3 linked regions of the Lytechinus pictus genome follow. The protein of the gene in region 2 interacts with the protein of the main gene of each other region in a pairwise test. Links are inferred from orthologs where the notes say so. Each region holds a gene or a part of one and is shown on either strand. Other genes may lie near its edges.

The links.
Region 1: the proteins of SUMO-conjugating enzyme UBC9-B-like (region 2) and E3 SUMO-protein ligase ZBED1-like interact in a two-hybrid assay, tested with the Homo sapiens proteins (4 studies listed by BioGRID and IntAct). The link is inferred for Lytechinus pictus from reciprocal best matches to the Homo sapiens genes UBE2I and ZBED1.
Region 3: the proteins of SUMO-conjugating enzyme UBC9-B-like (region 2) and double-stranded RNA-specific editase 1-like interact in a two-hybrid assay, tested with the Homo sapiens proteins (2 studies listed by BioGRID and IntAct). The link is inferred for Lytechinus pictus from reciprocal best matches to the Homo sapiens genes UBE2I and ADARB1.

The regions. Positions count from the first base shown.
Region 1 is NC_087249.1:51,618,482-51,622,238, forward strand, and holds the start of E3 SUMO-protein ligase ZBED1-like, read right to left. Parts: upstream 2,227-3,757; coding exon 1,246-2,226; intron 788-1,245; coding exon 1-787.
Region 2 is NC_087254.1:20,340,732-20,344,488, reverse strand, and holds the start of SUMO-conjugating enzyme UBC9-B-like, read right to left. Parts: upstream 2,877-3,757; 5' UTR 2,535-2,876; intron 1-2,534. UniProt on the Homo sapiens protein: Accepts the ubiquitin-like proteins SUMO1, SUMO2, SUMO3, SUMO4 and SUMO1P1/SUMO5 from the UBLE1A-UBLE1B E1 complex and catalyzes their covalent attachment to other proteins with the help of an E3 ligase such as RANBP2, CBX4 and ZNF451.
Region 3 is NC_087247.1:52,518,816-52,522,572, forward strand, and holds the start of double-stranded RNA-specific editase 1-like, read right to left. Parts: upstream 2,575-3,757; 5' UTR 2,333-2,574; intron 1-2,332. UniProt on the Homo sapiens protein: Catalyzes the hydrolytic deamination of adenosine to inosine in double-stranded RNA (dsRNA) referred to as A-to-I RNA editing.

The sequences.
Region 1 (3,757 bases), on a different chromosome or scaffold from region 2:
CAATATTCCCTGCTGTGCTAAATACACGCTCGGATGGGCAACTTGTTGCGCAAATGCAAAGATATTTTTTGGCAAATTTTGACAAAGATGGAAACAGCCTTTCATTGAGTTTCCACCAAAGTAGGGGGTCTTGGTCTCCATCTTCGGTATCTTCAGCGAGGTATCGATCGATTTCATTGTTTACCTGCTGTCGGACAGTTAATCGAGGGGTTGCCGCAGTGCTTTTCTTAGCAAGAAGATTTCCGAGGGACATTTTTTTAGGCGGGGGCGGCATTGGTTGGTCATTGTCCCCTGGTGCAGTTTCATCATTGGCGGATACATTAGAAACGAGAGTTACTATTTCATCGATAACTTTGCGTTTTAGTTCATCTCGCTCTTCATCTTCAATGTGATTCATTTTATAACGCGGGTCAATAAACGCTGACTTAGCTAGCATCCATTGCATGCTTTCCCTTTCATACTGACGGAGTATCTTGGTCAGCATGTCCCTTTTCATGGCCATTGTAAGGTCTGGTTCATCTTCTTCATGTTTTAGAGCATCATGTTCAAGGTGATCAAGCATTGGTAGAAGGGATGATGAGGTGACATAGTCCTCTCCAGACAATATGTCAGTAAAAGCAGCGACGGGAGATAGGGCTTTGTCAACTGCTTCCAGGACAGACATGACTCCATAGTTAAGATTGTGTGTTGTCCTTGGGTCTTGTGCAATTACTCGACGAATCGCCGGAGCCTGCTCGATCATTCTACGAATCATCTGATGTTTTGCTCCCCATCTTGTTACACAGTCCTGTCGAAAGAAAAGTGAATAAATAAATAGTAAAAATGTACAGTAGGCCTATATTAATTTTTGTTTTCCTATTTGCTATTAACCCCAATTATCATTCTATGCTTATATTTACAAATCTCGAAGCATTATCATACAGCGAGTAACGTCTCTTCATATTTGTTTTTCATAATTTTCTATAAAAGTGAACTTTGAAACTTTCATTATTTTTGGGTCAAGAATATTGGATACATTTTTGGGGGCAACTGAAAACTTTTTTTCTTCAAAATTCCAATCAGTTGTGGTCTTGTGGACTATCTACCTAATATGGAATTCTACAAATGCAGTGACTGATAATTTGACGAAGGGAGATATAGGTATACGGCCGGAAATACCCTTAATTTAAATTACAAGATGTGAAATTTGCAATGGATATAAAATAAAATATTTTATCTCAGTATGAATAAAGAAGGTTAACTTACCACTATGAGCGAATGCCTTGGAAGATCAAGTTCAGCTTGAGCTCTGGCAAGCTCCCGTCGTTTGTTCCAGCTGTGGGAGAAACTAGCAACAATGTTCTTGCACATCCCAATTGCATGACTTGTTCGGGCTGTGTTATTTTTCAGACAATTGTTTACTGCAAGGTTAAGATTGTGCCCAAAGCAACTTAACCATGGCCACTCCAACTTTTCCATGCAAGACACGATATTTGCGCCATTGTCAGTTGTCATGCACGCTAGTTTGAACTCATCCAAATTCCATTCAGCAAAAGTCTCCTTCAGTGCATCTTTTATATTGTCCGCGGTATGATTTTCTGGGAAAAAAGATGTTGCCAAACATCGGGAGATCAATTTCCACTCCTTGGAGATGAAGTGGATAGTACAACTCATGTAAGGAGCCATGGTTGTACTCGACCACAGGTCCGTTGTTGCAGAAAAATATTCTGCTTCCTCGACCTCTTTCTGAATTTTTGTTCGAACAGAGTTATAAAGAGCCGGGAGAGCAGTCTCTGTAAAATACTTTTTCCCGGGAAGTGTATATCGGGAGTCAAATGCTTGTAGCATTTCTCTAAATGCTGGCTTGTCCACCGTGTACATGGGGAGCATCCCTTTGGCTAGATACTTAGCCCCACAGTCTGTCAAATTTTTCCACCTCCGATCATCGTGACTATATTTTGCTGCCCTAGCTTGAACATCGGCTAGTGTTGGTTGTTGCGACGTCGAGGCGGTGGATGGTGTCCGTTTAGGTTGCCGTAATTCACTTGCCTGCTTTGGGTGTTTGCTTTTAAGATGAGACATCAAGTTTGATGTGTTCCCCCCTTTCGCAGCACAATCACGTCCACAAATTCTACAAGTGGCCTTGTCTGGGTTGATAACTTTCCCATCTTCTCCACACTTGAACCCAAAATGTACCCAAACGGGAGACGTTGCACCCTTTTTCGGTATTAAGTTGAGGTTCTCCATTATGAAATTAAGCGTAAGTATGTGATATCGAGAGCGATGGGTAAGAGTGAGAAAATTATTCGGATGAGCTAAATATATACTGGATCTAACAGGAAAATTACAGGCATGGTCTTTCTTTTTTAATTACACTGTTGTCAGATTTATTTACTAGTACTGGAAAATAAAAAACCACACACTAACTTAAAATTAAGGCGAGGGATTGGCACCTTATGCTTCCATCATTTTGATTTATTTGGTAAAGGAATCAGGAATACAATGTATTTTGCTGTTTCTTTGATGATGTGGGTAATTGGGTTATTTGGGTATTCAGAAAAGATACGTATATCTCCGTCAACTAGCTAGTTTATTTGACCAAAAGGCTGCCCTGATGAATGATAAACCCTCCCTGATTTTATCCAGCGGGGAGTGGGATGCCTTGGTCAAAATCATCAACAGGTCTTTCTATTCTTTATGTCTTGATTTATTGACATTCGTTCTCGATGAAGAGCGACTATAATTATTCTCAGAAAAATAGCGCTATTAGAGACTGCTTTTTACACTCCAAAAACATTGTAACGACTGAGATGTTAAGCACAATTAAGGAAAAGCTCTTCAGCGGTAAAACAGACAAATAATCATTCCAATAGTTTATCTAAATTGTCAGTTTATTCACGACCCCTTCATGCACATACAGCAGTGAAACAGCACCCAACACAACTCACACAATATTCACAGAGAAATTTCTTCCTTTAATTCACAGATCATTCTCAAAATAAATTGCTTGTAAACAATAGAAGGACGGCGTAACACCTTTCCCCGTTCTTTATATTTCTACTTTACTGCCTGCTATATTAGTGCTCCGTCCCTTCTAAAGCGGGACTCACAGTTGACAGTTCCTATCTCGACTTATTAAAAAAAGAAAAAAAAAATTGGAGGTCGAGATTCGGGAATCACAGCCATTCACATTTCTCTTTATGCGCATGAGTCTCGGGGGGGGGGGGGGGGATAATTCATAGTTTTATTGATTAGTAAGCCTAAAAGTAAATTATAAACTTGCCATAATTATATATACATGTAGTCCCAGGTATAAGATTATTTTAAGGAAGTCACACCTGCCGCCCCCCCCCCCCAAAGAAAAAAGGAAGGTTCGGATGTAAACCCATTCGTTGAAACGAGTTGATTATTATTTTGTCCGAAAAAAAAACCTGCGTAAAGAAAAAAAAAAGTCTTAATCCCTGCGGTTTGTCTGTCAACGGCCCAAGGTTGACACTTCGTTGAAACCCGCTTGTTCTTGTTGGTTCGTTCATCAACAACACCACGTGGTCAAGAGACGGGCTAGGGAGTGTTTCATAAAGAGTGTTGGCGGTGATTATTTTTGTTTGTTTACAGAGAGATGTTACAAGCTATAGCGAACCCTCGCATTTGATTGGCGGAATGCAAACCTGTTGTTGAAAACCACTGAAAAACTCTTCATGAAATGCTCCCCCATCTCGAATCGTGCACTGTACTACGCTGTGTACACACGCGCATGCTATGCTACTTGCATGCATCG
Region 2 (3,757 bases):
TCTCTGAAATTGGATACCCAAATTCTTTACAAAAGTCTCTGATATGGAAGATAATCTCCCACATTGGAGACAGTCTCCAATATTGGCCGTGCGCCTCTACTGTTCAGCCAGCGTGTCATAAATGACTGGAATTCGCTGCCCCAAGAGGTTGTCACACTCACACTCACAGCTCAGACGGTGAACAGTTTTAAAATAAGGCTAGACAAGGTGTGGGCTGACCAGCGGTACTGCTCACCCTATGATGAATAAACCATACTAATGTCGAGGACGGTGTAGATTTCCAAGCTAGACTGCTAGCCTATGAAGATACCTAACTAACAAGAAGGATGAAGGACTTGAATTGGAACTTCAGTGGAAGCACGACTGCTGTGCTGGGCCTGGGATCATCAGCATTCTTCCAGAATCTCGACTCGGGTAAAGGTAAAGGCTAAAGCACTAAAAAGTCTAAAGGACAACTCAAAAAACCATTGCGTTGGTTGTGCAAGGTTAGTATTAGTATAGTAAAAAAAAAAACCCCGCAATACGTGTAGCCAGGCGGCTTCTAGAGAGTAAAAATCATTTACTAACGTTAGGTCACTCTCATACGAAGCCAGGGCTTCCGTCATATACTTTTGCGTGTACCACCAAAAACCCTGAAACTTTCGCCCCCGAGATTTCTACTTTCTTTCTAAAAGATCTAGCCCTAAATCATGTACATGGGATACAACTTCATTTCCGACATTTCTACGCTATGGATTTTATTTTTAGACAAGAATTCATCCAAAAAAAATGAGAAAAATATCATGAATAGACGGAAGAGACTTGCCCGATGTTTACGCCGCCATCTTCATGATCTTGTTTTCTATTGTTCTTCCCCAACGTTACGCGACGCAAGCGTCCGTATCATGGGTGAAGAACAATAAATAGAAAACAAGATGGCGGCGTAAACATCGGGCAAGTCTCTTCCGTCTATTCATGATATTTTTCTCATTTTTTTTTGATGAATTCTTGTCTAAAAATAAAATCCATAGCGTAGAAATGAAGTTGTATCCCATGTATGGTGAGACTACCACATATCGACCACCTCTTTTGAAACCGACCACCTTGCGCGCGATAAAATTATTGCGTATTACAAACGATACGCGCGGGAGAGTAGGCGCAGTGTCCATAGAAACGGTAAGAATCGATTTTACGAGAAAAAAAGAAGCAACAAAAAGTAAAAATTTAGTAGAATTAATCAAAATTGTATTGACCAGACCCAATTCCCGCTGAAAAACCAAGAAATCCGATAGGAAACGGCTTTAGAACAAATATCCGTCGTCAATCGTCGAATCATGTGCCGGCGCGGAGCTCGCAGCGGAAGTAGTGAGACGATCATTTAGCATGTTGACATCATAGAACTGATTTGGAAGAGTAAAAATATTTACAAGAATCGGCCGTAAACTTAGTGTATCGCGGGTGGTCGGTTTCAAAAGACGGGTGCAAATGAGCAAATGTAAAATCGTCGTATTCATTGTTCGTCGATATATACGCGGATTGAATCGGAGTCGCCGAGCGAAACATGGGAATCTGATCTTCTCAATTTTCTGCACAAATGGGACTAAAACTGGGTAAAATTGATGAATATTTTTGCAGATACGATGCTGAGAAGATTAGGTGGTCGATAAGGGGTAGTTCCAACCATACATGATTTAGGGCTAGATCTTTTAGAAAGAAAGTAGAAATCTCGGGGGCGAAAGTTTCAGGTTTTCTGGTGGTACACGCAAAAGTATATGACGGAAGCCCTGGCTTCGTATGAGAGTGACCTTACGTTAGTAAATGATTTTTACTCTCTAACTTGTTAGAAGCCGCCTGGCTAAATACGTGTGAGTGGATAATGAAACTTGAATGAAAAGGAAAAAAGATGCAGTGCCACTGCACTGGCTGGCATAGACAGCTGGCAGCCGTCGGTTTCGAGGAGTTTTTTTAACTTTTTTATTTTTTTAATTTCTCCTCATACACAGACGGCTCGCTAGCGTGCAGCCACCACCATTGATTAGGGGACTTGCAATGCAAAATCCCCCCGTCGGGGCTCTTCAATTTTTGTCTTTAATGAATAAAAATTTTGAAAATTAACGCGACCAAAATGCAAATTAATATTCCCTCTTGGCATTAATTGCCAAAAAACGGAGAAAAATCAAGTTAAAAGGAACAAAAACAGTGTCAGTGACTTACCTCGGCTGTCGCGCAAATTCACTTCCCCGTTTTATCCGATCTTGACTTAAGTACATAAACATATTGCCATTGAGTCCCCTGTACAGATCGCGCTAAAACTTCGGTCTCTGTATTTGGTGAGTGAAGCCAACGGAGTTCAGCTGAACAACCAACATAACAAAATTAACAGAGACCTGGAGACCGAAGCTTGTTTTAGTTTTGGTCTATGACTATGGCTGGCACTGCTGCATGCTGTGCAGTCTGCTCTGCATGCACTGCACTGTGGTGTGTGCCAGTGGCAGTGCAGTGCATTTTGTCAGAATGTCATTCAAATGTGTGTTGATAGACTACGATTTACTCACCCTAACGTTAAAAGGTTGCAATTCACGACAAAGTCGTGGGCATGTAAACTGTTATTCGGCGAGATGAAAAGAAATCCGGGTATCTCGACGACTCGGCAAAAAGATGAGATCTCATTCATTCACAAAAGCAACGGAGATCCTGGCCTCAAGCGCAAATTCAGTTTACGATCGCGAAATACGCACAGCAGCATGCAAGCGCAAAAGCACAGTAAATAGACGTGCAATATACGAGTAGGGCCTAGACCGCGCAGACATGCAATAGTCGTACAAAAATGAAAAATAAAAAATGAACGTGAAGTCGTGAAATGAGCGAAGGTCACGTGATTTGACTAAACCAAGATTGATTAACGAAAGAGGGCGCAATAGCTGATTTCGCATTTTAATCCAGGAACACTATTTCGCATGTACTAGTATTTTGACATTTTGGGAAGAGGGAGGCGAAGGAGAAGAAGCGAGGACGAAATGAAATATGTTACTACATTGTATTTATACGAAGTTATAACTACATGCATATAATGTTCGCATACATTTTGTTTTAAAAAATGTTTGTTTACATTAATATATCTAATTAATCTAATAAAAGGAAGAATGGAAAGAAAAAAAAATCGAAAAAAATAGTAACTAAAGAAGGAGAGGGGGAAATAATGGAGAAAATTAAAAAGCACTGGTGTACACCGGGGTGTACAGATGGCTCTCCCCCCCCCCCTCCCTAAACAAAAAAAAACAATTACGACTAAGAAAAGAAAAAGGTAAGAAAAAGAGAGATGGGTGAAATATATTATTTTCTGAAAGTTATGTCAAAATCTATCAAATTTGATTTTTTTTTTAAGAAAAATGTCAAATTCTTTGCTTGCGCTCGCGTCGCTCACAGCCTTTCATAAATTTTACACAATATGCCACATCTTGCCAAGGTAGAGAGCAAAGATAAGAAAGGATCAGAGGAATAAACAAAAGAGGGCAGAAAAGAAAGGGGCAGGGGACAAACGGAAAATTACCTCAGGCGCCACTTGATCGGAGTGAGGTCTGCAGAAAAGAAGGAGAAGAAGAAGACGAACAAGAACAAGAAGAGGAAGGAGGAGACGAGGGTTAGGAGAATAAAAAGTAGAAATTCTCCTTAGAGATTTTGTGTGTTGTATATGAAAATATTACACAACCTTCAAGGGTGGCAGGGAAGGTTGTGCAGTAATTGATAAATTGAACAAAAATATATTAACTAATAATGT
Region 3 (3,757 bases), on a different chromosome or scaffold from region 2:
CTTGGAAGCCACAATGACGTCATGTCGTCAACCACAGTTAAAACCAAAACACAATGGAGGATTTAAACATAAGCTGAAATCTTTACTTTGGGTTATTTTAAATTGGCAACATGACTACATGGATTTTGAACTCTTGAAAAATATATTCTTTTAAGTACAATAATGTTCAAGAATTGGGTATCCTCTTTATAAGTTGTGGTACAAAAAGTTGCATAAACTGAATTTAAAAAAAATTCTCATATTGTCTACATTCCGTGAAAAGCATGCAAGACTTTGTTTTTTGATACATGTATTCCACTCATGTTACCTGGTCATTGTTATAAAATAATTTAAATGATCACAAACCCGTATTAACCAACTATGACAGAATATGCAACACACAAATTCCAAACTTTATACACATGTATATTTGCATGAATCTAGGGGTGCGTTTATCCGCCACTTTTTTACCCTAGAATCATGATTTGAATCATGATTTGAATCATGATTCAAATCATGATTCTGCAGAATCACGATTGCGTTTAGGGTGCGTTTATCCGCCACTTTTTCACCCTAGAATCATGATTCAAATCACGATTCTGCAGAATCACGATTGCGTTTAGTCGAAATTGAATATAATCATGATTAGAATCACAAACATGAACTACGAAAAAAGGGGCGTTTGGAAAGACGTTTCTACAGAATCACGTATGAAAATGTTCGAATAAACGATATCGTGATTTGAATCATGATTATATGACCTCACTGTGTCGGGCTACTTTCGGTTTGACTCTTGCCAAGCTCAAGGCTCTCTATATGCTCATTGTATGTACATGGTTACTCTGCATGCATTTCTTGTCATGTTCAAGTTCTGTGTTGGTCATCGCATCGTCCACTACTTTTCATTTTTTGGTCATGTCTTCAACTTCAAGTTCTAGTGAATGAATTAACTGGACAGACAATGATCTCAGTTGTTGTTGAGTATAGAGTGTTAATATTAAATTGGATCTACGCTGAAATTCACTTCCGAACACCATTTTGGATAAACTAACAAGATGAATAGAAGCATATGGACCCTATAGAAGTAAACAAAATTAGGTATAGACTGAATTCTGGAAGCAAAAGATTTTTCGAGAGCCGAAACACGTGCGAAAAACTTCCTCTGTCAAACTGCGCACTAGTGATGCGCACTGGATTGGCCCGAATCTGAGGAGAAACAGCATTGTAATGAAGGTCGTCTAAACGCTGATTCTGTGACATCGTGATTCATGTTTGTGTTTTGAATCATGATTCAAATCATGATTCAAATCATGATTCTGGCTTGAGGTCGCATAAACGCAGCCTTAGTCAAAATTGAATATAATCATGATTAAAATCACAAACATGAAACACGAAAAAAGGGGCGTTTGGAAAGACGTTTCTGCAGAATCACGTACGAAAATGTTCGAATAAACGATATCGTGATTACAATCATGATTATATGACCTCACTGTTGTGTCGGGCTCCTTTCGGTTTGACTCTTGCCAAGCTCATGGCGCTCTATATGCTCATTGTATGTACATGACTATGTACTATGAATTCATTTCTTGTCATGTTCAAGTTCTGTGTTGGTCATCGCATCGTCCACTACTTTTCATTTTTTGGTCATGTCTTCAACTTCAAGTTCTAGTAAATGAATTAACTGGACAGACAATGATCTCAGTTGTTGTTGAGTATACAGTATCAATATCAAATTGGATCTACGCTGAAATTCACTTCCGAACACCATTTTGGATAAAGCATATGGACCCTTTATGATAGAAGTAAACAAAATGAGGTATAGACTGAATTCTGATGGAAGCAAAATAATTTTCGAGAGCCGAAACACGTGCGAAAAACTTCCTCTGTCAAACTGCGCACTAGTGATGCGCACTGGATTGGCCCGAATCTGAGGAGAAACAGCATTGGAATGAAGGTCGTCTAAACGCTGATTCTGTGATATTGTGATTCATGTTTGTGTTTTGAATCATGATTCAAATCATGATTCAAATAACCAATATTGTTCAAACAAATTTCACCTTTGTTTAAAATTAGGACCTAATATACACTGAATGTAGCATAGTCATTTTCATTTAGGCGCAGCAAACTTATTATCGGTTGCGGGTCGCCGCGCCTCGGACGAAATCCCACCGTCCGGGACGATTCGGTTATTCAGCGAGCTCCTTTTTCTCCTAGCGCGCCCCGGACGCGGCGCACCGCTATTCATCCCGCCGCGCCCGGGACGACAGATCCAAGAGCTCTGCAATATCAGCCGTAGCCTTATACGAGATTCATCCCGCCGCGGGTGGGACGAAATTACGTCACAGCTACCTACCTCGATATCGGGCGAAGTTCGTGCAGAATATGTAGACTCGGTTACGTTAGACTTGTACCTAATTATGTATTCATATTTTCTATTTTTAGATGATAGGTTGAGCGCGTATAAGTAAATCGAGCAGCACATGCACACACGTGCCACATGCACAAACATACACAATACACACATGCACAGTTTCCTGATGCGATAGCCGCGCCGCGATCTGGTATTATATTACAGTACACGTACAGAAGGCAGATGGAGGGTAGCCGGGGTTTATAGGGGAGGGAAGCAGCTAGGCCGCGCTTCCTGGGCTTAGATGGGATAGGGGGGGGGGGGGAGCAGTTGGGATGGGAGGGTGTTTTACTTCTAATACTCATTCAGTTCAATTACGTCGTTATAATTTTTTTTTGGTGGGCTGCCGTAATTAACTTTTGCTATAGTCATGATAGTGGTATAAAACTGAGTGATAATACGTCAAGTTTATCTTTTCTTTATTCAAATTGACGCCTGTTTTGTGTGTACTTTTATTTCTAACGTTAAAAGGATATCTGGATTTTGCGAACAATCTTCATGTTCTGTTTTTGAGCAAAGCTAGTGGGAATATCATCATAAGCAGAGAATATGATTGATATGCAGAATACAATATTATTTTCATAACTTTATAATTCATGATTTAAAAAATATAAACGAGAGGTAATGGTAGTGGTGGTAATGAAGATGGAGCAAAAATATTCTGAGCTCCAGTCCAGGGACACCATTTCATACATTGTTTGGTAGACAAAATGCTATTAGGCCTAGGTAATGGGTCGAGACTGTACTGACCAACTAGATTGGTTTTAGACCAATTAAGAATTTAATCGTATATGATTATAAAAATCATATGCATTTTCCCTTTTCCCTCTTTCGATCCCCGGTTTCGACATCCCTCCCTCGAAAATAAAGAAACAATATGGGAGGGTGTTTTACTTCTAATTCTCATTCAGTTCAATTGCGCCTTTATCATTTTTTTGTTATATTTGTATTTTTTTTGTCTACAGACTATAAGTATTTACTTTGTTCTAGATGATTTGAATGTTATATTCTGTATTTTTTGGTACAATTTTGTGTATTATGAATAATTACTTTGTGAACAATGTTTTGTTGATGTACTATTACTTGTATGATTCTGAACTGAATGATTTTGATAAATACTATTACAAAACAACACAAATATTTAAAAAATGTATGATAAAAGATTCACAGATTTGCACGCAAATGTACAATTTATATGACAAGTTCCCTCAATTGCATCAGGTAATCAATGGACTGAAGTAGTCGCTTTAAAGACTGCTGTTTTTTTTTCTTTAACAAACTGCCAGGTCTCGTGATTTTTTTTTATTCGTGAATGAAAATGAAACACTAAAACTATTGCGTTGTTCCTCATTTAATTTGCCTCAGTCA